Linked DNA regions of Elephas maximus indicus. The protein of the gene in region 2 interacts with the protein of the main gene of each other region in a pairwise test. Links are inferred from orthologs where the notes say so. Each region holds a gene or a part of one and is shown on either strand. Other genes may lie near its edges. The genes, in order: PEX5 and ACOT8.

Region 1 (16,541 bases), on a different chromosome or scaffold from region 2:
ACAGTAGATGGATCCTGGCAGAGTGGGAGAATAATGTAGAACAGAACTCAAATTCTTAAAAAATTCCAGACTTACTGGACTGTTTGAGACTAGAGATTCCCCAAGACTACTGCCCTGAGATTAGCTTTAAACCTTAAACCGAAAATATCCGTTGAGGTCACCTTTTAACTAAATAACAGATTGGCTCATAAATAAAGATTATTACCATGAATAATGAGCTTCTTTAAAAAAAATCACCTATATAAGACCAAATGGTTAAAAATTACTAAAGCTATTATATAGCTACGATAGTCAAAACAGCCTGGTATTGGTATGACAGATAGATTGACCAATGGAACAGAAACTGAGAACGCATATGTAAATCCATCCACCTGCAGGGACCTGATCTTCAACAAAGGCCCAAAGTCCATTAAATGGGGAAAAGACAGTCTTTTTAACAAATGGTACTGGCAAAACTGGATGTTCATCTGTAAAAAAATGAAACAGGCCACAAACATCACACCATACACAAAAACTGTATCAAAATGGATCAAAGACCTAAATATAAAACCAAAAACTACAAGGACCATAGAAGAAAAAATAGGGTCAATGCTAGAGGCCCTAATACATGGCATAAATAAGATATGAACCATAACTAACAATACACAAACACCAGAAGATAAACTAGATAACTGGGATCTTCTAAAAATTAAACACTTATGCTCAACAAAAGAGTAAAAAGAGAACCTACAGACTGGGGAAAAAAAATGGCTATGACAAATCCAACAAAGGTCTAATCTTTAAAATCCATAGGAAAATCCAATACCTCTACAACAAAAAGACAATCCAATTAAAAAATGGACAAAGGATATGAACAGACACTTCACCAATGAACACATCCAGGCAGCTAACAGACACAAGAGGAAATGCTCGCGATCACTAGCCATTAGAGAAATGCAAATCAAAACTACAATGAGATACCGTTTCACCCCAACATTACTGGCACAAATCAAAAAATAACGAATGTTGGAGAGGGACCGGGGAGATTGGAACTCTTACGCACTGCTGATGGGAGTGTAAAATGGTACAACCATTTTGAAAAACGATATGGCACTTCCTTAAAAAGCTGGAAATAGAAATACCATTCAATTCATCAATCCCACTCCTAGGAATATATTCTAGAGAAATAAGAGCCATCATATGAATAGACATATGCACACCCATACTCATTGCTGCATTATTCACAATAGCAAAAAAATGGAAACAACCTAAGTGCCTATCAACAGATGAATGGATAAACAAACTATGGTACCTACACACAATGAAATACTAAGAAACGATAAAGAACAACGATGAATCTGTGAAATGCCTCACAACATGAATGAATCTGTAAGGCATTATGCTGAGTGAAATAAGTCAATTACGAAAAGACAAAAATACTGTATGAGACCACTATTATAAAAACTCATGTAAAGGTTTACACACAAAAACAATCTTTGATGGTTTTGAGGGAAGGGAGAGGCAGGGAGGGAATAACACTAACTACACAATAGATAAGTGGTAACTTTGGCGAAAGGTAAGATGATACACAATATCAGGGAAGTCAGCACAGCTCATGGAAGCTTCAGAGACACATCCAAACTCCCTGAGGGACTGAATTACTTGGGCTGAGGACTTGGGGACCATGGTTTCAGAGGACATCTAGCTCAACTGGCATAACACAGTTTATAAAGAAAATGTTCTACATCCTACTTTGGTGAGTAGTGTCTCGGGTCTTAAAAGCTTCTGAGCAACAATCTAAGATACGTCTTACTGGTCCCACTCTGTCTGGAGCAAAAGAGAAGGAAGAAAACCAAAGATACAACGGAAAGATTAGTCCAAACGACTAATGGACCACAGCTACCACAGCCTCCACCAGATTTAATCCAGCACAACTAGATGGCACTGACCGCTATGACAGGGATCACAATAGAGGGACCTAGACAGAGCTGGAGAAAAATGTAGAACAAAATTCTAACTCACACAAAAAAAACAGACTTACTAATCTGACAGAGACTGAGGAAACCGCAAAAGTATGGCCCCCAATACCCTTTTAACTCAATACTGAAGTCACTCCTGAGGTTCACCCTTCAAAGATTAGACAGGCTCGTAAGACAAAACAAGACTAAATGGGCATACCAGGCCAGGGGCAAGGACAAGAAGGCAGATGGACACAGGTAAGCTGGTAATGGGGAATCCAAGGTGGTGACAGGAAGTGTTGACACGTCATGGGGCTGGCAACCAATGTCACAAAATAATGTGCATAAATTGTTTAATTAGAAACTAATTTGCTCTGTAAACCTTCATCTAAAACACAATAAAATTAAATTTAAAATTTTTTTTTAAAAAAATTACTCCAAAGCAAAAATAAATGAGAAGGTAAGGGGGCAAGGAAAGCAAAAATAATGAGAAGGTAAGGGGGCAGGGAAACTAGAGTATTAGAAATGGTACAGATGGAATGGATGAGAATGATGACACATTGTGAAAAATGTGATCAACACCACTGAATAGTCTGTGTAGAAATTCTTAAATGGAACCTTATTTGCTGTGTAAACTTTCACCTTAAACACAATATTTTTTTTTTTTCTAAATGATATAGAAGACAAACTAATTAGGTCCTATTTATCATCTCAGAAAAATTCAGGAACTATGATGGTATAAGCTCCCTTAGAGTCTAGAATCGTTGTAACTTTCTCCACTTGTGCCTCTCATTCTCTTTTATTTCTTAAATTGGAAAAGGCTAATGGTGCTTCTCTTTGAAACCAATCAGGAAGAAAAAATTAGGTAGGTTTACAGACAGAAGGATCAATCCCAAGGCATGAAGTGCGCAATGGACAATCTCAAAGAGGAAAAAGTTAGCATGAGACAAGGGCTTCAAACTGGTTCTTCCAAGTTCAGTCATGGCCAAGGAGGTGACACCAGAACAGATCTGAATTTTTAAAATTTGGGTAACCCAGAACCACAACTAGAACAGGAAAAATTATGGGTCAAAACCTTACGTGAAACTTAATCTCCCTCTTAGAAAACAAGGGCAGTGTACATGTTGCATAGCAACCAAATGTCTTGCCCATAGGATTCTGTGCAGAGTCGGAAAGAGCTGTGCCCAGCTCAAAGATGGTGGTCAACTGCACCACTTTGTGTGTCACTCTCCTCAGTGCTGGTAATAATCCAACCTCAACTATCAGCCTCCCGAAAGGGCTCACCACACCTCTTCGAAGTCTCCCATTCCAGCTTCAACCCATAATTTTTCCCATTCCAGTTATGGTTCTGGATCATCCAAATTTTAAAAATTCAAGTCTATTCTGGTTTCACTTTGTCAGTCGTGACTGAACCGGTTCAAACCAGTTCAAAGCCCTGGCTGAGACCCTGAAGTCTGTGGCCAATCAAAAAAGAAGAGAATCATTCATCCCAGAGTCAAATCCCAACTCTACCGCTTACAAAGCTGGGCAATTTCCTTCACCTCTATGGTTCAGTTTCCTTATCTATAAACTGGAAATAAAACCAGTAAGGACCTCAAGAATTCTCATAGGGATTAAATACATAATGCATTTAAACAACTTGACACAAAGCCCTGAACAAAATATTAGCTATTAAGTTTTATTATTATCATCAAGGTATGGTCTTGGCTTTAAACTCCACAGCCCCACTCTCCAAGGCCCCAACTATATTCAAGATGACTTATTGCCAGAATCACAGAAGCTATTGGCAGATATTTTTCTCTTCCTGGGCAACACAGCCATCCACCCAATCTCTCTGGATCCTTTCTACCAAACTGTAGTAATAAAGTTCCAGATAACAAAGAGGTAGACCTAATTCTTCGTGGTACATATATATGTACGTACACACACACACACACACACACACACACACACACATTGGGGTTTGAACTATACGGATTTGGAAAAATCTCTTACCCAGTTCAAACTCAGTCCTCTGCTTAATATAAATTTCGACTCCCTACTATCACCTAAGGGAAATCATGCTAAATGCCCTACATAAAAATATGTCAAGAGGCCAGAAAAATAATAAACAGCTGAAATCACCCTGTACCCTTAAATGAATTAGGGGAGCAGTATAGAACTTTCATTGCCTCCACTGAAACCATTACAGATTTTCCAATAAGGAGTCTCACCTGTAACTTCAGAGATAAATTCTTGGGACCAGTCAGTCTCATTATAATCCTGAGTTACATCCACAGCATCTCCAGCTGCAAGAAACTCCTGGGCCCAGTTCTCAGACAAGGCCAAGTCTGCCACACCAGGGGCTAAAAACAGAAAAAAGAAATACTTATTATTTCTTTTATGCCTAGTAAGTAACCCTGAATGCACATGAAAACACTATGCTCCTTTTGTTTCCTTCTATATCCAGTTCCACAATGTCATCAGCATTCAAATTTGGAACCCCCTTGGCCCCGCCTACACAGAAAATGGTGACCTCCCCTCCCACCAGACTCTGAACCCACCTCTCTGGGGAGCCTGGCGGAAGCTGGACTGTTCAATCTCCTGCATCTCCGCCAGGAGGTCATCCATCTTGAAGGTCTGAGGGGCACGGGATACAAGTGATGCATTCTGGTCATGCAGGAATTCAGCCACCAGCTGTCAGAAAAGATAGTGAAATGAACCCACGGGGTCAGGGAAGTCCCAGCAAGAGACAGGGTCCACTGGATGAGAGATACTGATGTCAGATACAATGAAAGGATAATATAGAAACTGGAGACAATTAGAGAGAGAAACTTAACTCTCCATAGATTTGGAAACAAATAATACATAAAAAAAAAAAAAAAAACAAGCAGGAGAGCTAAAGCAAATCTCATTTGTTCAGGGAAGACCAAAGATTGAAATATGGGTGAGGCAAGTTTAAAAATAAAAGCACAATGTTGTTGTTAGTTGCTGTTAAGTCAATGCCCATTAACGGCGGCCCCATGTGTGCAGAGTAGAACTGCTGCAGAAAGTTTTCAAGGCTGTGACCTTTGGAAGCAGATCAACAGGACAGTCTTCCAAGGCACCTCTGGGTGAGTTCAAACTATCAACCCACTGGCTAGCAGTCGAGTGCTTAACAGTTTACAGTGGAAATGACACTGATATATTTACCTCATCTTCAGAGGATACTCCCAAAGGCTTAGAGACCTAAGACAGAACACAAAGGAAGGCAATACGGTACAGTGGCGAAATCAGTTGAACATGAGTTAAAATTCCAGCTCTACTACTGACTAGTTACATGACTTGAACAAGTCACATAACTTCTCTGGGCCTCAGTTTCTTTATGTATAAAATTGTTTACTTCGTCTATATAATAATGCACAGTGCTTAGTATAATGTTGAGTAAACACTCATTAAAAAGATGGTAACTATTATTTGCAGCACAATAAAGAAAGCAATTAGTTATCCAAGGTGTACACCTGGACGTTCCATCCCAGCCACCACTTGGGCTTTCCACTCACCGCCTCTGGAGGTGGGGCTCCTGGAGGCCAGGGGCCAGGCTTCAAGCCCTCCTGTCGCAGGGCCTTGTCCTGGGTGAAGTGCCCAGCCAGTTTCATGAGTGGGTTGGCACCCCCGCATTCTGCCTCCACCAGCTCCCGCATTGCCATGGTGACCGCCAGCTCTCTGATGGGCAGAGGTTTGGAACTGAGGTTCTGAAGACAGACCCTTCTCCAACCCCCAACTCAGCTCGCATATTGGGGAGGCTAGCAAACATCGGCCCCTCACGGGTCAGGCCCCTGGTCACTGGCTACTCTTCACCCCTGTGCCTTTTACTGTGGCCCACACCTCTGCCTGACCTCCAAGGGGTGCCGGGACCCTCCCGCCGCCCCCTCAAAGGCCACAGCCTTCAGCCTGGGCCTCTTCGGCAGCCTCCACGTCTGTGGTCTCGACCGGCTGAACCCGGCCAGCACCCGCCCCCTACGGAGTGGCCTGGACACCAGAGGGCCACAGGGGCCGCTTCTCCAACCGCGCTGGACTGGGACACTGGGCGGACACGAGAAGGGAGTAACAACGCCTGACCGTAAGCCCTGTCCCCGACACCCCCCGGTAGTCTGCTGAACACCACGGGGGGCCACCCCCTCCCCCAGGTCACCTGGGCCCCTCCCTCTGCTCGACCCGCTCCCGGCCCACCCCTCCCGCGCTCCCCACCACTCCATCTGCTCTGGCCCTGCCCCACGAGGACACAGCAAGGGCGGGGAAGACGGGGAACTCGTCCCCGCGCCCCCTCGGGACCCTTTGCTTACCGCCGCGCACCGCGCCGCAAGAGCTGCCGGGGCACCCGGACTGGCGGGGGAGGGGAAGGTAGAGAAGGGGGAGCCAGGGGGCGGGGCTCAGGCTTAAAGGGGCCGTGACCGCCGCGCTGCGGTCGCGGCTCGGCGGAAGCTGTTTGAAGGGGCGGGGCCTTAAGGATGCGACGCCGCGTAATGGGAAGAGCGGTGAATCTTAAAGGGGAAGGGCTCCTTAAAAGAAAAATCTTGGAGCGTGTGCTCTTGGAAGCGCTTGAAAGGGTCGCTGACGCTCAGATTTATTTGATGGAAGGGTCAAGGAAGAATGGAGCTGAGGGGCTTCCCGGACTTTGGGGAAAAAGCCGAGGGCCCAGGTTGCTGGGCTCAGCTCATCCTTGCTCTTCCTGGGACTCATTGTGACCCAATGTCATCCCCTGCCCTTCCTAGGCCTCAGTTTACCCCTCTAAAACGGCCAGTCTTCCCAAGCCCCAAAGCGGGTAGAAGAAAAACCCTAATGCTGAGACTCGGGGACAGGAGGAAGTTAGTCAAGTCGGGGACCTTTTCCAGCCTCCCAGGTCTGCCTCTCTTCCAAAGTCCCCATAAAGGGATAGCGTCACAGTCTCCATGGAGACAGAGGCCTGCAGCCAATCCCTTTTCCACCTCTGCGTATTGGGGAAAATAGCACTGAATGATGACAAAGTCCAGAGACTAAAATAGGGTCCAACACATCCTGAGACTTAAAGCTGATAACATACAAGGTAGGTGTACAGTGAGTCACTTCTCCCCCACTCCCCTCCCTCACCTGTGGTTAAGGTCACTGTGGTGGCCTTATTCCCACTCCTTCCGGCTGATGCAAAAAATGCAGAACATGACTTTAAGCCTCAGGCCCCACCATCTGCCAGGGAATTGGCTCAGCTTTCAAACCTCAAGGTCACTGGGAAACAAACCCTGGTCTCTGACCTGGCTCCAAGACCAAGGGAGTCCTGGTGTCATGTAGAAGGGCAGGAGGGGCTCAGGGCTGCTGGTAGATGAGAAAGGGTATGGTAGACTCAGCCAAACAGAAGTATCATCCCAGCCCAGGGTGCACTCGAAGAGGCAGACAGACAGCAGGTGAAGCCCTAGGTGAGTCCTGTTACCTGGCTGTTGGTAAAGATTTCGATGGTGGAGGCCCCAGGGAACCAAAGAGACTTGGCTCTGTAAACTCAACCCTGGGAAGGCAGAGAAGCTGTTCTTAGACACCTCAGGGAAACAGAATGACAGGACAAACCTGAAGACTGTCGAAAATTTCTCCTTTTCTTTGCATTTTCACCCACTTTCAGAGGCCCTAATCCACTACCTCTTTTCCCCTGGAATACACAAATCCTGACCCTTGAGTGTCCACTGTTCTCAGGCTGCCGTTGTAAAGAATATACCTTAAAACATGCCGTTGAGTAGATTTTGACTCGTAGCAACCCTATAGGACAGTACAATTGCCCCATGGGGTTTTCAAGGAGCAGCTGGTAGATTACAACTGCCGACCTTTCGGTTAGCAGCTGAGCTCTTAACCAGCGCGCCACCAGGTAAATATCTAGTACTAATGAATTAAACCATACCAAGGAGGAACAGGTGCCCTCTAGAAAGTGCATACTTCCAAAAGAGAGAATCCCTGGACAGGGCACTTTTGCCCTGGGTGGTATAAATGGTTTGCACTCAGCTACAGACCTACGTATTGCTGGTTTGAACCTGCCCTGAGGAACCACAGAAGAAAGGCCTCGCTATCTGCTTCCGTAAGGATTACAGCCGAGAAAACCCTGTGGAGCATTTCTACTCTGTAACACATGGGGTCACCATGAGTCAGAATTCACTCCACAGCAATGGATTTAGTTTTAGGTTTTTGGAGAAGGCAACGTTCAACTGGAAGCATATGATATGGTAGACTTTCAGGACATTAAGGCATTAAGGGTTTCCCAGTAACACTCCAACCATACCACACACATTACTTTCTGCTCTGCTAGAAGCAATAACTCACTATGTGCCCACTCTTGGGAGAATGGTAATAATGACAACTGGTGCTTATTGAGTGCTTACTCAAATCCAGGTACTGCACTAAATGTTTTATGAGCATTAGCACTTTTGATTTTCATAACATGTTTATGAAATAGGTGTTACTAACCCCATTTTACAGATAAGACTTGTCCCCAAATCACACAACTAAGATGTCAGAATTCAATCCAGGCATAACTCCAGGTATCTATCTATCCATTACACAGCAAGGCCTCCTAGTCTTAAAGAAGCCTGGTTTGTAAGCCGTAGAATCCTTCACAGAACCTGGTCCACAAGTCCAAGAGGGTGTCTAGGGTTGGCAGAGAACTAATAGAGTTACGTGGGTATTTAATTAATATTTAGTTTATTGAAGTTCTGGATTTAAAATCCTAAATTTTGTTAATCCAGATTCAGCTATACATTCTTATTCTATTTATAAGAGTAGTAACATATAAAATAAAATAATCACTTTTACTTTCTCTTTAATTAATATTCAGTTAATTCAATTTTAACAGATTAAATTCCTTCAAACAATTTTTAAACACTTACATTGTGTTTACAATGTGCCAGGCACTATTCTAAGTACTTTTCAAGTATTAATTCATTTAATCCTCATATGAACTATATAGCAACTACTATTCCCATTTTACAGACAGGAAACTGAGGCGCAGAGAAGTGACTTGCCCAAAGTTATACCACTTATAAATAGCAAAGTTGGGACTTGAACCTAGACCAAGGTCAATAAACTTTGTTTGTAAAAGGTCAAATAGTTAATATTGTACGATTTGCAGGCCATATGGTCTCTGTCACAGCTACTCAACTCTGCCATTGTAGCATGAAAGCAGCCATAGACAATACGTAAATGAATGAGTGTGGCTGTGTTCCAATAAAACTTTATTTATAGGCACTGAAATTTGAATTTCATATAACGTCACAAAATATTTTTCTTTTGATTTTTTTTTTCCAACCAGTTAAAAATGTCAAAACTATTCTTAGATTGCAGACCATACAGAAAACAGATGGCAGGCTATAGTTTGCCAACCCCTAACACAGACGGTCTAGTTCCAGAGTCCGTACTTCTAACTACTTTGCTATACTTTGTTTTTAAAAAATCAAAGTCCCTTAAATATTTTGAACTCCTTGGGTACTTTCTATATATATATATATATATATATATATATATATATATATATATATATATATATATATATATATATATATGTATATACACATATATATATATGTATGTATATATATATATGTTAAAGCATTATATATGCCTGACAGAGCTAACAACCTTCTTTCTAACCTCTTTTTCTTTCTAACCTCTTATTCAACCCTTGTACATTTATAAAATCCTCTTAGTCCTTTTAACTTAAAATCACAAGTCTAAAATCAATTTTACCTCTCAGATTGAAGGCCTATCATCAGATTCTCTTAAACATCAGACATTTTAACTCAAAGTCATTATACACCTGAGCAAATTTACTGGCTCAGGTAGTTCAAGGCTACTGGGTTAAATTTGGAACCACAGTACAGGCACTTAGAGGTCAGAGAGTTAAGGCCAGGACACTAGACATAGGAACTGTATGGTCCCAAAATGATGCTATCTGAACCACAAGTGAACACCCTCAGTTGTGTCTCAGAGAAGAGTTCTGTCTGCTGTGTCATGAATCCCTAAAGCCGTTCCCCTCAACTGATAATGGTGTCCAACTCTTCAGTTACAACTTTACCTAGTTTTTATCATCAGATTAAGGTAGTTGAAAAGCTGTATCCCCACATCAGGTGCAACCAACTTCTTTCACAACTTCAGCTGAGCAACAAATCTCTGCTCCCTAGGTGTTGAATTTCACATTCCATGTTGTTGGAGGTGGGGGTTGGGAAATGGGGACGACCGTCTGGTTTGATTCTTTAGTTTTTTAATGACACAACGCACAGAGTAAGGGAAGTTTCCTTCCTCTGGATATTGCACGTCAAGCTACAGTCTTCACACATGTACATTTGAAAGGGTTTGTTGGTTATGATTATTCATCTGTCCTGTCAGCCTCAGTAGTTACCGTTGGCAGAGACACTTTGACAAAGGAAGAAAGCTGCATGTATGGTGAAATGCAGCAAATCCCAAAACTGGACCCATCTGTGTATACCTGGGCAAATCCCAATTGGCTTTAAAAGTGTTCAGAGTAGTGATATCTAGATATAATCAGCTATGTCCGGCATAACCCATCTACATTTGAGTACAAAATACCTAACCATTCTATAGCTACACAGCAGGGGATTTGCCTAACCAAAAGCAGGACTGTGTTACAGACACCCCTTACCCATGCTTGTAGCAGAATCTTACCACCTCTAGAAATCCAGGGAATTTTCACAATATGTCACCCTTGCCAAAATCCAGTTGGGAACCCATTGATCCCTTACTCCCACCACCCCCAAAGAATGGAAGGGAAGAAGGAAAAAAAGAAAAACAAAATAAGGTTTTTTATTTGGAGAATTTCTTCAAATGAGTGGTTTTACTCTCTTTTCAGTATTTTTCAACCAAATATCTACAGCATACACAGATAAATAATGTGTTTCAGTTTTTGCTTGTTTTGTTAGTTTGACAGGGGAAATTCACTTCCAGGAAGATGAAGTAGACATGCTTTTCTCTTTTTCTCCCACTGAGTACAACTAAAAACCGTAGACGCGATATATAAAACAAACATAAGAAGACTCTGAAAGATGGAGAAAAGAAGGCAGACCAGCTAAGGACCTCAGGACCCAAGGAACAACACAGCAGTGAGTAATCTAGGTTTTCTTTTTGCCTCATATATCCCAGACTGGGTGCTAGAGAAGCCGGCAACACAGCAACACCAATGGGTGCAGACAAAAAGAGCTCTAACAAAGACCTGCTCTCTCTAGGACGGGGGAAGGGGCAGCCTACCAAGACAGAAACTTTTAGACAGTAACTACTCTGCTCCAACTAAACATGAAAGAAAAAACTATGGCCCCACCAACACCAGTGAAGGCTGAGTAGGAAACAGAGACTTCTCTCCTTATGAGGCTATAAGGAAGCACCCCAATTCCCCCACTAGGGTGGTACCAAAGAAGCCCAAATAGGGAGCCAGAACTTTTATCTCCACAGGCCACAGCTCCGTCTCTCCCCTGAGATGTAAGTGGAGACCACGTGGGGAGCCAGGACACTCCCAGCCCACATAGCAGTAATGAGGAGTCCCCTTCCTACTCATGTATTAATGGTGGCCAAATGAGGAACCTCGATTTCTACTTCCATCTGGCAGTAACCAGATGGTGGTACCAGAAGAGTGATTTCCTTCTTCCCTTCTTGGAGTGGTGTCAAAGAAAGCCAATTAAAACAGAAGGTTTAAATAAAATCCAAAGTCTCACAACAAAACATAAAAACGTCCAGGTTTTAATCCAAAATCACTCATCCTGCCAAGAACCAGGAAGATTACAAACTGAATAATAAAAGACAATAGATGCCACACCAAGATGGCAGAAATGTTAGAATTATCGGAAAAGATTGTAAGGCAGCCATGATTTAAAAAATGCTTCAGTGAGCAACTATGAACACACTCGAGACAAATGAAAAAAATAGAAAGCCTTAGAAAAGAAATAGATGATATAAAGAAATTCCAAATAGAAATTTTAGAACTGAAAAATACAATAATTAAAATAAAAGTCTCAGTAGGTAGGCTCAACAGTAGAATGGAGGGGACAGAGAAAAGAATCAATGAACTGGAAGACAGAACAATAGAAATTACTCAATATCTGAACGACAGAGAGAAAATAAACCAAAAAATGAACATGGCCTCAGGGGAACCATTCACCTGATGACTCTTCTGCTCATGGGTTTTATCCCACATCAAGTGATCCTGCTAGCGTTTGCTCTGAGGACTTTGCAAGACAGAATGTAAGCTCCATAAGGGCAGGGACTTCAGCTTTCTCAGTGCTAGATCTCCAGGCCCTAGAATTGTGCCTGACATATAGTTACCCTATTGACATCAAGTCGATTCCGACTCCCAGTGGCCCAATAGGACAGAGTAGAACTGCCCCGTAGGGTTTCCAAGTGGTGGCTGGTAGATTCAAACTGCTGACCTTTTGGATAGCAGCTGTAGCTCTCAATCACTGTGCCACACATAGCAGATAGTCAAAAAATATCTGTGGAAGAAATTATTGTTACTATTAGATTTTGAGTGGCGATAATCATACTCTGAGCTCAGAGAAATAAAGCACAGAAGACAGAATTAAAGGTCTACGGTATAATGAGTTTCTCTTGTATCTGGCCTTGGGTTGATAATTCTACCAAAAATAGTTGGTTGGGCCACAGCCTGCCTTGTGATTGGTCTATTTGGTGCACCTTGCAGAGACTGGTCAGTCTACTATGCAAATAGGGTAGGTAAAACTACCCAATAGGATTAAGTGACCTTGCAGGGAATTGGTCTATTAATATGCAAATTAAGTGACTGTGGCCTACCAAGGGGATTGAGCAGTTCATCGACATGGTGGGAGGACCATGCCCTGAAATTGACAAGGAGTAGGCTTACATAAGGACAAATCCTGCAGAGGTTAAGCGGAACCTCACTACCACCAAGAAGAGATTGGAGTGGAACACATCCTTTGGACACAGGGTCCCTGTGCTGAGAACCTCCTAGACGCAGAAGAGAAAGAGAGCTGTAACACTGAAGACAGCAAGAAATAGTGGCAACTACAGCAGAGCCCAGCAGCAGAGAAATGGCTGCAGCAGTATAAGTGGCAGGAACCCGGCCATCAGGGCAAGGCAGCTGCAGTGGGCTTGCTGACCCACAGAGCAAGAGAGAGGTAAGCACCTTCAGGCAGGAAGGTGGAGTGAAGTGCCTCCAGGCACTTGTTGGCAGAGCTAAAGAGCTGTAACACTTGCCCAAGCAGGACGGAGGCCAAGAGAAGACCTGGTGGCAGGTGTGGCCAAAAGAAGGCCTAGCAGTGGTATGGCCGAGAGAAGGGCTGCCTGCCTGTGGTCACAGCCGAGAAGCTGAGAGCTGTTTTGGTTAAAAGTTGCCCTGAATGAAGAACTGTATCCCGTTGAATCCAACTCATAGGGACCCTACAAGATAGAGTAGAACTGCCGCATAAGGCTTCCAAGGCTGTAATCCTTGCAGAAGCACACTGCCACATCTTTATCCCAAGGAGCATCTGGTAGGTTTGAACTACCAACCTTTCGCTTAACAGCCAAGCACTTAACCACTGCGCCAACAGGGCTCTGTGACAACAGAATACAAGATCAAATTTCAGATGTATTATTGTTAAAGCTGATTGGAGAATATCATTTTAGATTTGTTGAGTAACGGGCTTATTAATACAATCCCACTTCCAAGTATAGACCTTGGATCAGCTTACCTAAGGGATTGTTGGGGGCTGTAGAGCAAACATTCATCCATAATTATTGCAATCACACCCTGAAGCTGAGACGGGAAGAGGTTCTTGCACTTATTATAGATTAGTTTGACCCTATCTAAAAACATGGATCAATGGATGTTAGACCCTCACCACATACCAAATAACTCTTCCATGCCATGAAGAGAGTCAGGAGTGTCAAGTCCCCTCATGATAAAATGAGGACAAGCATTTCCAGATTATTTTCTTAATCCATTGACCTTAAAACTTGTTGCCATCAAGTCGACTCCAACTCACAGCTACCCTATAGGACAGAGTATAACTGCCCTATATGGTTTCCAGGGACCACCTGGTGGATTCGAACCGCCAACCTTTTCGTTAGCAGCCATAGCTCTTAACCACTAGCCACCAGGGTTTCCCCACTGGCCTTAGGTAACCATTAAACTTGTAATCAGCCAAGGATGTGACTATTCCTGTAAAGACAGACCTGCTCCCTATCATGAGACTGTTCCCCAATAATATCCATTGCTCCTTTGTGAATCAGATTGGAACATGGGTTTTTTCATAGATTTTTTCTCCCAGGAGTCTCAAAAATAGGTAAAGACTTTAGCTCAGTCAAATTAATTCCAAAGCCACTCTGCCCAAGACTGACATTCTATTTCATAGTTTATTCCTCACCCAACATACACCTAGCCTCATTACTGGTTATCTCTCAAGAGAAGTTATGCAGTAAGATCAAATGAAAGGATAACAATACTCCAAAAGTAGAATGACAGCCATTAAAAAAAAAGAAGTGCTTCAAATTCCTATAACCAGCAAAAGGACTAGTGGTGAGCATTGAATATGTTGTTGTTAGTCGTCTAGTCAATTCAGACTCACGGTGACTCTATGTGTATAGAGCAGAACTGCTACACAGAGTTTTCAAGGCTGTGACCTTTGGGAAGCAGATCGCCAAGCCCGTTTCCTGAGGCACCTCTGGGTGGGTTCAGACCACCAACCTTTTGGCTAGTAATCGAGCACTTGTTTGCACCACCCAAGGACTCCTAGTTAACTCCAAAACTAAAAGTAAAACAAAAGTGGGAATGGGGTGATGTTAGAACAATGTAAAATAATACGACTAATAAAATGGGAGAAAAAAGGAGAAAAGTAGAATAATCTCACTCTCACTGATTGATTCTTATGTAATAGCTAGAAATTAAAGGATGTCATTTAAAGCTAACAAATCAAGTAGTAGACAGTTAAGGATATTTAAGGGCAGAAAGAGTAAACATTAAGAAAGATAATATTGACTGAAACTTAGAAGTGGAGGAGGAGGGGATGAAGGGAGAGAAGTTACAAACTAGTATTTTGTTGTCGTTCATGGAAGAGAATCAATACATATTGTCTAAAAAAAAAGGGGGATTAAGGATATTAAATGTAACCACTCGAACAAAAACCTTCCTAAATGTTGGAAGAACTATAATTTAAAAAAAAAGTAAAGAATTCAGACCACAAAGTGAAAGACTATACATATGAATAAAAAAAAATTATAACAAAAACAAAAAAAACCATTGCCATCGAGTCATTCCAACTCATACCGACTGTTTTAGTCATCTAGTGCTGCTGTAAGAGAAATATCACGAGTGGAAGGTTTTAACAAACAGAAGTATGTTCTCTCACAGCCTAGTAGGCTAGAAGTCCAAACTCAGGGCATCAGCTCCAGGGGAAGGCTTTCTCTGTCAGCTCTGGTGGAAGGTCCTTGTCATCAATCTTCCCCTGGACTAGGAGCTTCTCCTCACAGGAACCCCGAGTCCAAAGGGTGCACTCTGCTTCCAGTGCTGCTTTCTTAGTGGTATGAGGTCTTCCTGTCTCTCTGCTCGCTTCTCTCTTTTATATCTTGAAAGACATTGGCTCAAGACATAATCCAATCTTGTAGATTGAGTCCTGCCTCATTAACATAACTGCCACCTATCCTACCTCATTAGCATCATAGAGGTAGGATTTACAACACATAGGAAAATCACGTTGGATGACAAAACTGTGGACAATCACACAATACTGGGAATCATGGCCTAGCCAATGGATACATATATTTTGGGGGGACAGAACTCAATCCAATTCAAACCCTGTAAAACAGAGTATAACTGTCCCAAAGAGCTTCCAAGGAGTGGCTGGTGTCTGAACTTCTGATCTTTTGGTTAGCAGTTGAGCTCTTAACCACTTCACCACCAGGGCTCGTGTCTATAGTATATATACACTATGATATATATGTGTGTGTGTATACATATATATGTGTATATGTGTGTGTGTGGTATGTATATATATGTACACATATATGCATGTGCATGTGTATATATATACATGTATATTCCCTACTTGTTTTTTTCCCCCCATCTTACATATATCCACCCACATTACCCAATGTAGCTCACCAGAGGTTATGAAGCAGTGAGGGCAATTGAAAGGATAACAATTCCAACAATATAATGACAGTCATATAAAATTACCTCAAATTCAGGAAACTTCAGCCAAAGGATTGGCAGAGAGCACTGAAAATGCTTAACTATAGAACTAAGTCTAAAACAAAAATGAGACTATATACAACTATTTTAATATCTATAGTGTTTAATATATTTTATATAGTTATATATAAAAACAGTAAATATAAAAAAATTGTATGTCAAAACTAATACCCAACTTATCTGTCATATCAATATACGTAAATTGGCTTAACTCGCTTATTAAGAGAAATTTTCAGTTTGTATCAGAAAGCAAAACCTCTCTCTATGCTATACACAAAAGACACGTTTAAAATAAAGTATTTCAGAAAAGTTGATAATAAAAGAATGGACAAAATAAATCAGGCAAATGCAAACAAAAAGAAAGTAGTTATCATAATTTAATATCAAACAAGATGCATTCAGGCCTAAAAGCATTAAATGAGAAAAAG
Region 2 (15,805 bases):
GCAGAAACTAGGATCAGAGAGGCTGGGGAACTGGGCAAGTCCACAGCAGGTATGCCCTAACTCAGCCGGCCAGAAAACACCATCTGTCCTGAGTCTGGACCTGGTGCTCTTTCTCTTGCACCAGCATTTTTCAAACTTTATAGGCTGTGATCCAAGTGAGAAATACATTCTACCAGGTGATACACCCAGTAAGGCAAAGGCAAAGAGCTGGTGGCAAAGCCATTAAAGTGCTTGGCTGGTAACCAAAAGGTTGGTGGTTTGAACCTACCACCCACTCTGTGGGAGAAAGATGTGGCATTCTGCTTCCATAAAGATCACAGCCTTGGAAACCCTATGGAGCAGTCCTACCCTGTCCGAGAGGGTCGCTATCAGTCGGAATCGACAAGAGGGCCAATGGGTTGAGTTTTTGGTTGATATTATCTAAAGCAAGGAGCCCCGGTGGCACAACAATTAAGCACTTGGCTGAGAACCAAAAGCCTGGCAATTCAAACCCACCAGCAGCTCAGTGGGAGAAAGATGTGGCAATCTGCTTGCATAAAGATTACAGCCTTAGAAGCCCTATGGAGCAGTTCTACTCTGTCCTATCGGGTCACTATGATTCAGAATCGAGGCAATGAGTTTTGGTTTGGAAGGCAAAGGCAGCGACCAGTCAGAGCAAATTTGGGCCATAGCTTCGCAGCAGGGTTCTAGAGGACACCCACCCCTGCCAGGCATTAACTCCTAAGCTGCTGAATCATGGGTGACCAGGAGAAAGGAGAGGAGATCATGCAGTGGCCTGAGGAGGTGACTATTTACCAAGTGGTTACAGAAGTATTTCAATATTTTAACAGCCAGTAAAGCTGTAACAGTGCCTGCACTGGCTGAATATAAACCCTGCATTTTACATCATGACCCAATACACACACAACTGAAACTCAAGTGTCACCAAAGAATTCTTACCCTTCCTACGTACGATATACTCCAATATCTTCTTTTCTATTCTATATTTCTAAAATGCTGGTCAAGACCCATGAAAGGATCTCATGACCCACTAATGACTGAGAACCGCTGTTTGAAAGCACTGCCCAGGAGCCTCCAGGCTTCTCACCTTAAGTACTGGTCAATGAGGGTCTCATAGTCGAGCAGCTCCTCTGGCGGGGGCACAGCTGGCATGGAGAACTGGTGCTGCAGGGGACTGGGCTGGATCTGTTGGAAGGAGGCCTGGCAGATGAAGATGGGCTTGCCGTGTTGCACGGCCCTCACGGAGCGCACCGAGAAGCTCGCCCCTGTTCGCGTCCGTTCCACCTGGTATAGCACTGGCAACTTTGGGTCTCCTGCAGTGGGCACAAGGGGCACAGTGAGCCCTACAGGCTTTGTAGACAGCACAAAGGCCAGGTGGGCACCTCTGCCACTGGTCCTCTATTCCTTTCTCTGTTCAGTAGCTAGGGACTGAGACCAGGTACTGGGGATACAAAGAGAGCACTAGGTGGAGTGCCTCCTGTCAACAGCACAGAATACTTGGACTCGGCCAGATTTCCTGCATTCAAACCCTGGCTCTGCCACTCACCAGATGTGTGACCTTGGAAAAGTCGCTTAACCTCTCTGAGCAGTTCACTCCAGTAAAATGAGGACCCTCATAGTGCTCAGACCTCACAGGATTTTTATGAGAATTAAATGAACTCATAGTTGTACAGTGTTTAGAATAATATCTGGCTCATAGTTTTTCATAGTTAGTACTCTCTAAGTGTTGGTTAAATAAAATAAATTCTCTCAGTTCTTATCTTGTTCTGTCTGTGACTGGGATCATGTCATGACTACAGAATCATTTCTTTAAAATCAGGGGTCAGCAAACTATAGCCCGTGGGCCAAATCCAGTCTGCTACCTTTTCTGGTAAATAAAGTTTCTTTGGAGCACAGTTACAATCATTTGTTTGCATATTGTCTATGGCTGTTTTCGCGAGCTACACAGCAGAGTTGAGTTGTCACAAAGAGACCCGCAAAGCCTAAAATATTTACTATCTGGTCCATTACAGGAAAAAAGCTTGCCGACTCCTGCTCCAGATTTTCCCAGCTCTAAACCTGTTGACTCAACGGCAGTGGGTTTAAACCTGTAGCATGCTACATTCCTGTACTACATTCTTTTACCTCCCTAAAAAAAAAAAAAAAGACATTCTGCCTTGGGCTTTTAGAGTTGATAATATAAATGACAAAGATTACCCACCCTCAGCATCTTTTATAAATATATATATCATTTAAAACATCTTCATTGGTTATATTTGAGGTATGTGGTAAAGGGTCACATCACAAACTACTGAGAGCTTCCCTTTTTGCCTTGCTGCCAGGGAGCTGAGAACTAAATTTTGTGAGAAACTACAGCAATATGCCTTAGCCCAGTTTTTTGGTAAAGTCATTTTCCCCAGGCTCCCTATTAGGACTACTCTGTTGTCCTTTGACCTTTATTTTGATAGTCCTTTGATAGCTATCAATTATCTTCAGCTGTCTTGCAGCCTTTCCAGGAAGAGATAAGGAACAAATAATTGGTGATTTATTTTGAAATGGTAGCAAGGAAGAAGATCCTTCCCCCAGAACCTGGAACGAGCACTGTGATGGTTAATGTTATATGTCAACTTGGCTAGGCCATGATTGTAATTATCTTCCCTTTTTGTGGCCTGATGTAATTATCCTCCATTTTATGTGTTGAAAGTCCTAACCTCTACGTGCTAATAGGGCAGGATTAGTGTAGGGTGTATCACGAGTCACATCCTTATAAGCAGGTATGACCCAAGTCACACCCTTGCTCAACTATCTGACGTGATGGGAGTTTCCTTGGAGGGCACAGCCTTCATTCAATATACATGGATGACTGGCAAAGGTCTCCCTTGCTCTGGGTCCTACATCGAGCTCGTCATCATCTGACCTCTGCTTCTTGGTACTTGAGCCAGCAGCCTACCATGTGACCTGACGATCTTGGGTTCCGCAGCCCCTGCAACCATGTGAGTCAGAAGAAGCCTTCCAGCCCAACGCCCGACCCATGGATTTGAGAACTGCCGGCCTCCACAACTGTGTGAGCCATTTTCTTGAGATAAATCTCTATCTATATACATATATAGATATATACACTTCACTGGTTTTGCTTCTCTAGAGAAGCCAGCCTAAGACAGGTACCCTGGTAGCCCTACACGGATTTGTAATGATCTTCACAAGTGAAAAGAGAAAGTAGCAGAAGACTGTGGAGCTGGAGGCACACAAACCTGGGTTCAGATCGTGGCTCTGCCTCCCTGAGCAGCTGTAGGAGCTGGTTACAAATCTCTTTAGGTTGCCATTTCCTTATACACTGAATGGTGGCAGGAATGCCCACCCTCATGTTATGAGGACTAAGTAAGATAATGTACCTGGCCATCCTCTGTGCCATGCAAATATTAATTATTCTCATAAACTCATCATAAAAAATGATTATTATCACTTATGGGAAACCTGCAATGTGCCAGGCACTGCACTAGAGGCTTTCACTACAAAGAGTTATAATTCTTTCATCACAGGATAAAGAATCAGATTCTGAGGGATCAAGTAATGCCCCTACTTCCACAAGGCAAGACAAAACCGCCAGGTCTCTCACTGAGCTAGGAGGATTACACTACCAAAAGGCCAGCATCTTGGAAGCTTACAGCCAAACTGAAGAAATAAAGTCCAGAGGTGCTCCCAACTAGCACAAAGGTAAGAACTGGGCTGGTAAGTAGCGATGACAATCACAGTCAAGGGGCTCAGGCAATAAAGGAAGGGGGAGTGAAGGGCATGGTAATATGGTGTGAAAAAATAGATTTATTATTATAACTATTTTTTATTTTTAAAATGAAAGAAAACCCCCCCCTATTGTTTTCTGAGTACAAATCACAGAATATAAAGTTAAACAAAATCTTCCCAGCTGGTTTGACTCTGAAGAAGACAACAAGTCTAAAATTGTGGGCACCTGCCTTAGAAGTCAGGGGTATGGAGGCAAACCAAGTGAGATTTTTGTTTCTCAACAGAGAGTGGGTTTTAAAAGACTGCCCCTTGCTCCTTGACCGGATCCCCGAGCTATAAGCAACTATAGAGATCATCCAACTAAAAGCCCCTGGACCAACCCTTCCTCTCCTCCCCACTAACTTCACTCTAAAGAGGGCACAAACCAAGCCTCAGGGAGGGAGGTCATCTACTCAGTGTCACAAGGCAAGTTATTGGCAAGGCTGAAACTAGAACCAAGATCTTTTGATTCCCAGCCTGGTGCTCTTTTCTCCAAGCCAGGCAGCTGTGCCCCCCAAACCCCTAACAGAGGTTACAGCAGATGTGAGGATCTAGCGCCATACTCACACCAACAGGAAACAACTAAGAACCAAGTCTTGCATCATCAAGAGCCAGAGAACAAGTTAACGGTCTCAGTAAGTGTAAAGTCCAAAGCTCTTTGTCGGCCCCAGGCCTTGTTTCTCTCTTGGCTCCCCTGCGACTGGAACTCTCTGTCTCCGTTCTTCGCTTCCCCTTTCCCCTCAGTCAGCCCCCCAAAGCCAGGAGGAAATGGCTCCTAAGCCCCCCTTCTCTCCCTCTCTCCTCAGTCAGCCCTCCAAGACCAGGGAGAAGTGGCTGCCGGGTCCCCAGGACTGGGTGGGGGCAAGGAGGGGGTGGTTTACCTGCCCGAACAAAGTAGCAGTGCAGGGAGTGTACGTGGACGTCTTCAGTCACAGACTTGGCTGCAGCTACCAGGGCCTGACCCACGATCTGACCCCCAAACAGCCGCTGGGTGGTGGGTACCCAGTAATGCCTTCCTCTGTGGGAAGAGGAAATTGGGAGAGACTTGGGTAGGGGCTGAATCCTACAGCTCTCAAAGAGCCTTTACTGCAGGATCTCTTAAATTTATTGGGGTTTGGGATCCCTTTGAAAAACTGGTGAAAGCCATGGGCCCTCTCCCAGGCAAATATCCTCACACATTACTCTGCATACAACTTCATGGCCTTCATGACCACCCAGAGCCCTTCTGTGGATTCAGTTAAGGATAACAATCTAACTCACTTATTTCACACTCAGAGAATGGCGATCAGAGAGTTCAAATGACTTGAGCAGGGTCACAAAGCTTAAACATTGCACATCCTGGACAGTTCTGGAGTCTTTTGACCCCAAGTCCAGTGTTTCTTCTACTCCCCATATCAGAGTAAGACACAAGCATCTTGGGTGGACCAAGATGAACCTCCAGGGCTGAGTCTATCCCCTATATTCCTCAACCACAACAGCCCAGTTCTTTCTAGAACCCGATTCAGAGCTGGAAGTGTAAAGATGAGGAAATTGGGTCCCCCGAAGTGAAAAAAGACCAGTTGGCATGTGAGCCCCAGCCCCAATTTAGTATTCTCCATAGCACTGTATTGCAAATAACCCTCCAGGAAGTGATTTACAAGTCGTTAAGTGGACGGAAGGGAAGTTAAAGCCAAAGATGGATTCCAATAAAGCCAGTAGGAGCTCTGGAGGCCAAAGCGGTCAAGAGCTTAAGTGAACTGGGAAGGAAAGAGGCTCAGACCTCAGCATGAGCAGCAATGAGCTACCAAATCCCACCAAGTAGTGGGGAAGGAGTATGTAAAATTAAAAGGATAGTAAAGATGCAAGAAGCTGCGAATCAGGGGACTTAAGTTTTAAACTAGATTTGCTGTGTGCCCTTAGGTAAATCACTGCCCTCTCTGGGCTGACTCCCCCAGGGACCCCAAGGGCCGACTGCCGTATCACAGGTTACCACTTTATTTGCCCAGTTCGCAAGAGCGCTGCGCAGTCCGGGCATGGAATGGGAGGGAGGAAGCCAGTGCAGTCTGGACAGCGCAGTGAGGGCCAAGCCCTCTCTCGATCGCGGCAGAGCCTGCAGCCTCCGCACAGCCCATCCTCGTTCAGGAGCTGAGGGACAATGGGTGGCGGCTGCCGAGACCAGGGGCCTCCGTCCCAGTGGGGGCGCGAGCCGGATGCTGCAGGCTACCTGAAGAGATCTTCGTCCAACGGCTCAAGGTTGAGCACGCTGGTGACCAGGACGCTGCGGAGGTCCCTGGGGGGATCGTGGCCTTCCTGCCCGTCCTCCGGAGCCTGCGGGGACGACATCTTACTAGCTGGCGGCTGGCCTCGGTCACTGCCCTGGGCGAGGGAACTGGAGACATACCCAGAGCCGGAAGCCCCCGGCAAATTGCCCTCGTAACCGGAAGTGCCCTGCGGGACAGTGAGAAGGCGGGATCCGACTATGATTGTTGATGTTCCTATCCGTCTTCTGGTGGATGAGGCGGGATTTCTCTAATGATTGGAGAAAATAAGTGCCACTCTGGGGTCCCGTGTGTGATTGGGTGTGATACTGAGGGGGCGGAGCCTCGGGGCTGAATAATAAGGACTGAGTGTCAATTTCCCTCTGTCAGGCAGTAAAGACGCCCCTCGCCCCAGAAACCCCTCAGACTTGGGATCCTCCTGAGCTCCATAACAGGCACTCAAGTGGAACCGACCTCTAAGGGCCCTGGACCTAGACCAGCCTGTAGACCCTCACAGTGACCTCTGACCCCCGGTGTGATACTGGGCCCACGCTAGGACCAGCCCCTGCTGTGGGCTGAGGGGACAGCCATGGAGCTGGGCAGCTGCTTCAAGACCTACGAGGACTTCAAGGAATGCTTCAGCGCCTACAAAAAGGAGAACAGGTGCTCCTTCATTCTCAGAGACTGCGTCTCCGTCCGCTTCCACAACCTCCACCATGGCACCTCTATCCGCGAAGACATCCTGTAAGGGCGGGGCGGGGGCGGGGCAGGAGGATGGGGAGGAGGGTGGCCGGCCCACCGGAGGGCGGCCTGGAGGAGGAGGAGGAGGCGGGAATGCTCTTGGGCCCTTGTCTCAGACTTCCGCAGCCATTCATTCAGCAGGCACCTGCTGAGCACCTGCTGCGTGCCTTGTGGATATAGAGCAAACCCTCTTTAGGCGTTGCTTTTTGACCACCCACTTCACCGTCACTCACTCATTCCTTTCTTGAACAAGCTTTTCTGGAATTCATAACTGCAGTTTGTCCTATTTTTGAAGCACCTACAGTATTCCAGACACAAAATACTGCCTTCAAAGATGGATAAAAACGCCTTAGCGTTTTATTCTTTACAAAGCAGTAACAGGTCAGTTGGTGATTGTTGCATTCATTCATTCTGTAAATGGTTCTTGAGCTCCTAATATTAACAACCATTTTTCAAACACTTTGCATGTCCCAGGCAGCGTTCTGTACTCTGGGCGTGCTTTACCCCTCAGGGCTGTATCAAGGATTAGACGTTATTCTTCTCATTTAACAGATAAGAAAACAGGCTTAAAGAATTTAAGACAGGAGTTGAAAACTCAAATGCCTTTTGGGCTCAGGTGAAACAGCCCAGGGTAAGAAAATGTAACATAACTTTTTATTGTACTGTAAGAATAAGAATGATGAAATAACGCCATGGGGACAACAGAGAAAACTGTGAACTGGGGCAAATTAGAGAGCAAATCCCATCTAATCGACTCCAGCTGATTACTGCCATGTGAAAAATGAAGATTCATTGTTGCCAGAATTTTGGGCGAGAGGAGTGAGAAACAGACTTTTATGTGGATTTGGCCACTTTTTAAAAAAAATGGAAATTAGTTCAAATTGTGGGCTACACTATGTGGGCCATCTCTGAGAGTCAAAAATAGTGTATCTCAGGGCCACCAGTCTAAGACCTCTGGTTTGAGAAGTTGGCCAGAGCTCCCCAGCTTGGGAGCCAGGCAATGTGTGTTCTTTCTGTTACTCAGAAGTCTACTGTTGTGTTGGGTACAGATGACGTAGAGATGATTAAAAAATCCAGCCGACCCTGAAGGAGCTTAAAGTGGAATAGACTCGAACTCAGATAAGCCAACCTGTAAGTGATAATGCTTTAAAAGAGACTTGTGCAGAGGAAGAAGTAACATGCCTGGGAGGTATGGAAAAGCTTCACTCTGGAAGTAATGGTTTCTCTGGGCAGTGAATACACACAGAGGGCTAGAGTAGGAGCCTCAAAGTCCCTGGGTGGTGCAAAAGGTTTGCTCTGGACTACTAACCTAAAGGTTGGTGGTTTAAACGCAACTCATATGTCAGTCATTCTGTGTGCCATCATCTCAGCTCTTGCCATGTCCTGTACTACAATTTACTTAACGTTTTTTTCTTTAAATTCACTCAGGTTTAATATTCAAAGTAACCTATTTTAGACCTAACCTAGGAAATAATATATATGAAGTAACAGCATAAACCCGTTTGCTATTGAGTCAATTTCAACTCATAGCGACCCTATAGGACAGGGTTGAACTGCCCCGTAGGGTTTCCAAGGAGCAACTGGTGGATTCGAACTGCTGACGTTTTGGTTACTAGCCTCAGTGCTTAACCACTGTGCCACCAGGGCCAAAAAAAAGTGCATTCTGGAATCAGACTGACGGATTCCAGGTAAAATGCAGAGCATTCATGTGAAATGAATGTTATGTATTTATAAATAATCCTGAAAATATCTGTTCTTAAGCAATCTGAGGTCATTTTGGACCCCTTATGGGAAACTCGGTCTTAGCTAGTTGTTCATTTTTCTTTAGGTCTCAGCACTTCCTCCAGGAAGTCTTTCTTAACTTCCCCAAGATTAGGTTTGATGTTCCTGCTGTGCTCCAGCAGCAAGTGTTACACCTCTTTGCATATTGCTTTGTAATCCAGTTTACAGAGTTTTCCCCATTGGCTGTGCTTTTCCAGGGAGAAACTTTGGTTCACCATTGTGTCCGCAGGGTCTAGCTCTGGGTTGGGCCCATAGCAAGTCATTGTATATTGAATGACTGAATCATCAAGTGCTAAAAGTGTGCTTCAGGGGAATAGGTGCTGCAGGAACTGGGAAGAGAGAGTAATCACTGGGCTGGAGAAGTAAGAGAAAGGGAGACCTGAGGTGCACCCCCTAAAGATGGAGAGGGGGGCACTGGGGGGTATGTTAGTTTTCTTTTTGCTGCTGTAACAAATTACATGAACTAATGGCTTAAAACATCACAAACTTATTTTTAGATTCTGTAGGTTGGGAGTCAGACATAAGTCTCACTAGGCTAAAATCAAGGTGTCAAGGAGAATTGGTTCCATTGCCTTTTCCAGCTTCTACAGACGCCTAGCCCTCCTTGGCTTATGGTCCCCTTCCTCCGTCTTCAAAGCCAGCAATGGCAGGTGGAGCCCTCCTCACATCATATCACTCTGACCTCACAACCCCTTCTCTGACTCCCCTTTTCTGTCTCCCTCTCCCACTTTAAGGACCCTTGTGGGGAAACCTACTTAGCTAGAAGGAAGATTTATGCTGAAGAATAGTGGGGAAGAATTGGATGGGCCCAGATAAATAGGCTGGAGGGTTGACATTAGTTTCATTTATTTTTGTCTTTGAAGGTTGAACAATTTTAAAAATTAATTTGTTTTGGTTATAGTTAATATAGTAACTAAATTAAAAAAAAAAATCAAACAGTACCAAAAAATCTAAAAGTCAGTGTCCCTTCAGCATTATTACCTAGAGACAACCACTGTTAACCTTCCTGAGACGCTGGTGCCTGAACAACCGTATTGTCTTTGTGCATATGTATTTTAGCACAAGTGGGAGCGTACTATCAATACACGCGGTTCTGCACCTTGCTCTTCTCATGTATCTGTGTATCTTGGAGATTATTCCGTATGGCTTCTTCCACTTGTATGTGCAAAGCATCCTTACTCAAAGTTCCCTGGTTTAATTCATTGATTTCAGCATTTATTTACTGAACACTGATTCCATGCTAGAGTCTGGAGAGACAGTATTGAAAAAGATAAAGTGGGTTCCAGCCCTCCTGGAGCTTACCTTCTGGTCAGGGAACAGATACTAACTTATCACCACAGAAGTAATTATTTACTTAAAATTGTGGTAAGGGCTGCAAAGGAGAAGTCTAGGGTGCTGGGTGATGGAATGACAGGGAAACAACCTGGTTGGGTGGCCAGGGGAGAGTGGTGGTGGTGGTGGTGGAGGAAGAAGGTATCGGTTGAAACTTGATACCAGTTCAGGTTCTTGATTAGAAAAGTGATGTTGTCATCCCTGATACTTTGCAGAGATCATTTACAAAGCACGCGCACCTTCATTATCTGACTTGTTATTTTGTTTGCCTATTAAGTGAGTTAATACATGTAGAGTGCTTATAGGAGTGCCTGGTTCATAGGAAATAGTCCATAATTGTAAGCTGCTATTATCGTTATTATTTTGCAGGTGGGGAAACACAGCCAGGGGAAGTCAAATGTTAAAAAGGGACTAATAATTTCTACCTCTCTGCTTTAGGTCCAAGGAGCCCTGGTGGCACAACGGTTAAGCTCCGGCTGTCAACCAAAAGGTCAGTGGTTCAAACCCACCAGCGCTCTTTGGGAGAAAAGACCTGGCCGTCTGCTCCTGGATAGATTACAGCCTAGGAAGCCCTATGGGGCAGTTCTACCCTGTCACATGGGCTTGCTGGGGGTTGGAATTGACTCCACAGCCTTCGACAGCAGCAGCTTTAGGTTACGGCACTGAGCTCATTTACATAACACTCGGAAGGCTGCTTTGCACGGAGTTCCAAATGTGTGAGCACAGGCAGAAGAGCGGATAGATAGAGGCCAGGAGTAGGTGGGAGCAGGCCCCCAGGCAATCGAGGCATGGAAGAGGAAAATCATGAGAACCTGTGGCAAAAAGCACCCTCACCCCCAAAAAGCACATGGGTGTGAGCCAGGGAAGTCTGAATCTGGTACAGTCACAGCCAAGAAAAATGGGAAGGGGCAGAAAGGAGGGGGCAGGTCAGAGTAGGGAGTAGGGTAAGATTTCAAGAAACCGTAAGAAAACACTTAGGTGTTAGGATAGAGTAGAACTGCCCCGTAGGGTTTCCAAGGCTGTAAATCTTTCTGGAAGCAGAGTGCCACAGACTGCCACATCTTTCTCCCGTGGAGTGGCTGGGGGGTTCAAACTGCCAACCTTTCGGTTAGCAACTGAGCGCTTAACCACTGTACCACCAGAGCTCCTCCCTTAGCCTCATGGTTAACAGATGAGAAGGGAAATCAACAAGGATGATAATAGGATTGGAACCTGAAAAGGAAAGGATTTGCATAGCAAAGAATGAAGATAGATCCTTGGGAAACCTAATACAGCCCTGGAATATTTGGGTAAAACTGACCTCTGCATATTGCAAAAGTGAGACAGGAAATGAAGTACCATAGTGTTTGCAAAAATTACACCAGGGAAAAAAAGTTGGCACTTAAGGTTGTTCTTTTTGTTTTTGTTTTGTTTTTTTTCTTTGCCTATTCATCTATGCTTAGGCCAGTACAACCTCAAGTTGTTCTTTGATTATTCTAAGAATAAGCATATAGTTGTCATTATAATCTACGTTTTATTAAATATAATATTAACTCCATAATTTTTGTCTTATTTTTTAAGGTGAAATTCCACTCAAATCTTTTTTCTCCCACTATTTACTGTGAAATGTTGCTTCCAGGGATGTCCTTGGCTACAAGGAACTGAAAACCTTACTCAAATTGGCTTATTAGTTCCCATGTAGAAACCCAAAGGTAGGCCTCTGCAGGTGACTGTCTCCGAGGCCCAGGCTATTTCCATCCTCCCACCCTGCCATCCACAGTTCTCAGCTGTGCCTTCAGCGTGGCTCCCCACATGGCACATCCAGAGGAAAAAGCTTTCCTTGGTGTCCTGAAGACTTCCTACTGCCTTTCTTGGCCAGAATTGAGCCAGTATACGTGCCCCTTCCTAATGGGATTACCTTAATTGGCTTAGACTAACCCTGAAGCACAGAGCTCTGTGGAGGGGTGGCAACCAGAATAAAATGGAAGTTCTGTTAGAAAGGAGGAAGGGAGGGGACAAAGTTCTGTGGGGCTGGCAACAAGCAGAATCTACCAAAGCCTTTTAAATGGATTCCCTTTAAGTGGTACTGATCATTCGTAGAACAAGAGGGACCTGTTCCTTTGGTATTTCCACATTCCTGACTGTGCAGATGGAGGTTTAGAAGAAGTGAAGTGCCTTGTCCAAGGTCGTACAGCTAATCTGTGGTAGAACTGGGATTGAAACTAAGGTCTCCTGACTCCGGAGTCTTGTTCCTAACTCAAACTATATTGTCTGAGATGTCTTTAAGGCGCCCTGGCAGCACAACGGTTAAGCACTTGGCTGCTAACTGAAAGGTTGGCAGTTCAAACGCACCCAGCAGCTCTACGAGAGAAAGACCTGGCTATCTGTTCCTGTAAAGATTATAGTCTAGAAAACCCTATGGGGCAGTTCTCTGTCACATGGGGTTGAAATGAGTTGAAAATCAACTTGATGGCACTAACAACAAAGATGGCTTTGCCTATTCTTTTTTTATTGTACTTTAGATGAAGGTTTACAGAACAAACTAGCTTCTCAATAAACAATTAGTACACATATTGTTTTGTGACGTTGGTTACCAACCCCACGACATGCCAATACTCTCGCTTCTCGACCTTGGGTTCCCTATTACCAGCTTTCCTGTCCCCTCCTGCCTTCTAGTCCTTGCCCCTGAGCTGGTGTGTCCCTTTAGTCTCATTCTGTTTTTTGGGGGCTTTGCCTATTCTTCATCTATAAAAATCCTACTCATTGGTCAGGGCCCAATTTACATACAAAAAAGGGCACAAATCTTACACAAAATTAATTGGGAGCCTTAGTTAATCATACCGATTTCTACGGTCAGAGTGCCTCACCTAGTTTTCAGTGATAAATATATTGTTTGTGCCTCTATTTAACATTCAGTTGATTTTGACTTTATTGGCCACCTGTGTAATAATCTGCTCATGAGACTTTGAGAGTAGGAACTATCTAATTTGTCTCGGTAGCCTTCTGAGCAACTAGAAGTATTTGGTACTTAATTGTTGTTGTTAGTCTCTCCCTCATGCCAAACTTATGTATGATAGAACAAAACATTGCGTGCTCCTGCACCATCCATCCTTACAACTGTTGGAATGTTTGAGCCCATCCGTTGCAACTCCTAGGTCATTTCATCTCACAGAGGGTTTACCGCATTTTCTCTGACCCTCTACTTTACCGAGTACGATTTCCTTTTCTAGTCATTGGTCTTTCTTGTTGTCCAAAATAAGCAAGTTGAAGTCTCGTCATCTTTACCTCTAAGGAGCATTCTGGCTGTACTTCCTCCAAAATGGATTTATTTGTTCTTCTGTCAGTTCACAGTATATTCAATATTTGTCGCTGATACAATTCAAATGCCTCAATTCTTCAATCTTCCATTTTCAATTGTCCAGCTTTTACATGCATATGAGGTAATTGAAAATACCATGGCTTCGGTCAGGTGCACCTTAGTCATCAAAATGACATCTTTGCTTTTTAAAACTTTAAAGAGATCTTTTGCAGCAGGTTTGCCCTATACATCGTTCGATTTCTTTCTTTAATAATATTTTATTGTGTTTTAGGTTTAGCAAATTATTTTATACATACTGTTGAGTCACATTGGCTACATTTTTCACAGTGTCAAGATTCTCATTATTTCCATTCTGGTTGTCCTGTTTCCATTAATCCAGCTTCCCTCCCCCCTTATATATTCTTAATTGTTGTTGTTAGGTGCCTTCAGGTTGGTTCCAACTCATAGCGACCCTATGCACAACAGAATGAAACACTGCCTGATCCTGCGCCATCCTTACAATCGTCATTATGCTTGAGGCCATTGTTGCAGCCACTGTGTCAATCCATCTCATTGAGGGTCTTCCTTTTGTCTGCTGACCCTATACTTTACCAAGCATGACATCCTTCTCAGGGACTGATCCTTCCTGACAACATGTCCAAAGATCCAGTCTCGCCATCCTTGTTTCTAAGGAGCGTTCTGGTTGTTCTTCCAAGACAGAGCCGTTCGCTCTTTTGGCAGTCCGTGGTATATTCAATATTATTTGCCAACACCACAATTCAAAGGCATCAATTCTTCTTCCATCTTCCTTATTCACTGTCCAACTTTCACATGCATACGACAGGATTGAAAATACCATGGCTTGGGTCAGACGCACCATAGTCTTCAAGGTAACATCTTTACTTTTCAACACTTTGAAGAGGTCCTTTGCAGCAGATTTCCCCAATGCAATGTGTCTTTTGATTTCTTGACTGCTGCTTCCATGGCAGTTGATTGTGGATCCAAGTAAAATGAAATCCTTGACAACTTCAATCTTTTCTGTGTTTATCATGACATTGCTTATTGGTCCAGTTGTGAGGATTTTTGTTTTCTTATGTTGAGGTGTAACCTATACTGAAGGCTGTGGTCTTTGATTATCATTAGTAAGTCCTTCAAGCCCCCTTCACTTTCAGCAAGGAAGGCTATGTCATCTGCATAACGCAGGTTGTTAATGAGTCTTCCTCCAATCCTGATGCCCCATTCTTCTTCGTATAGTCCAGCTTCTCAGATTATTTGCTCAGCATACAGATTGAATAGGTATGGTGAAAGGATACAACCCTGACATACACCTTTCCTGACTTCAAACCATTCAGTATCCCCTTGTCCTGTCCGAACAACTGCCACTCGATCCATGTACAGGTTCTTCATGAGCACAATTAAGTGTTCTGGAATACCCATTCTTTGCAATGTTATCCATAATTTGTTATGATCCACACAGTCGAATGCCTTTGCATAGTCAATAAAACACGGGTAAACATCCTTCTGGTATTCTCTGCTTTCAGCCAGGATCCATCCAACATCAGCAATGATATCCCTGGTTCCACATCCTCTTCTGAATCTGGCCTGAATTTCTGGCAGTTCCTTGTTGATATACTGCTGCAGCTGCTTTTGAATGATCTTCAGCAAAATTTTGCTTGCGTGTGATATTAATAATATTGTTCTATAATTTCCACATTTGGTTGGATCACCTTTCTTGGGAATAGGCATAAATATGGATCTCTTCCAGTTGGTTGGCCCATAAGCTGTCTTCCATATTTCTTGGCATAGACAACTAAGCACTTCTAACACTGCATCCATTTGTTGAAACATCTCAATTGATATTCTGTCATTTCCTGGAGCCTTGTGTTTTTTCGCCAATGCCTTCAGTGCAGCTCGGACTTCTTTTTTCAGTACCATTGGTTCCTGATCATATGCTACCTCTTGAAAAGGCTGAAAGTCAACTAATTCTTTTTGATATAATGACTCTGTGTATTCCTTCCATCTTCTTTTGATGCTTCCTGCATTGTTTAATATTTTCCCCCACAGAATCCTTCACTATCACAACTCGAGGCTTGAATTTTTTCTTCAGCTCTTTCAGTTTGAGCAACGCCAATTGTGTAATTCCCTTTTGGTTTTCTATCTCCAGCTCTTCGCACGTGTCATTATAATATTTTACTTTGTCTTCTCGAGATGCCCTTTGAAATCTTCTGTTCAGTTCTTCCACTTCATCATTTCTTCCTTTTGCTTTAGCTGCACGATGTTCAAGTGCAAGTTTCAGGGTCTCCTCTGGCATTCATCTTGGTCTTTTCTTTCTTTCCTGTCTTTTCAATGACCTCTTGCTTTCTTCATATATGATGTTCTTGATGTTATTCCACAGCTTGTCTGGTCTTCAGTCATTAGCGTTCAATGTGTCAAATCTATTCTCAAGATGTTCTCTAAATTCAGGTGGGATATACTAAAGGTCTTATTTTGGCTTTCGTGGACTTGCTCTGATATCATATCAATTGCATACGAGCAATTGATAGTCTGTTCCACAGTCAGCCCCTGGCCTTGTTCTAACTGATGATATTGAGCTTTTCCATTGTCACTTTCCACAAATGTAGTCGATTTGGTTCATGTGTATTCCATCTGGCAAGGTCCATGTGTATAGTCACCGTTT

The links.
Region 1: the proteins of ACOT8 (region 2) and PEX5 interact in binary tests that used the Homo sapiens proteins (3 or more experiments, as listed by UniProt). The link is inferred for Elephas maximus indicus from reciprocal best matches to the Homo sapiens genes ACOT8 and PEX5.

What each region holds. Positions count from the first base shown.
Region 1 is NC_064822.1:64,037,464-64,054,004, reverse strand, and holds the start of PEX5 (peroxisomal biogenesis factor 5), read right to left. Parts: upstream 6,348-16,541; 5' UTR 6,242-6,347; intron 6,220-6,241; exon of another isoform or gene 6,147-6,219; intron 5,622-6,146; 5' UTR 5,606-5,621; coding exon 5,459-5,605; intron 5,145-5,458; coding exon 5,109-5,144; intron 4,614-5,108; coding exon 4,481-4,613; intron 4,283-4,480; coding exon 4,151-4,282; intron 1-4,150.
Region 2 is NC_064843.1:23,390,165-23,405,969, reverse strand, and holds the start of ACOT8 (acyl-coenzyme A thioesterase 8), read right to left. Parts: upstream 6,186-15,805; 5' UTR 6,138-6,185; coding exon of another isoform or gene 6,082-6,137; coding exon 5,963-6,081; intron 4,778-5,962; coding exon 4,641-4,777; intron 1,314-4,640; coding exon 1,088-1,313; intron 1-1,087. Other genes in the region: ZSWIM3 (zinc finger SWIM domain-containing protein 3), read left to right, coding at 6,586-6,740. UniProt on the Homo sapiens protein: Catalyzes the hydrolysis of acyl-CoAs into free fatty acids and coenzyme A (CoASH), regulating their respective intracellular levels. Displays no strong substrate specificity with respect to the carboxylic acid moiety of Acyl-CoAs.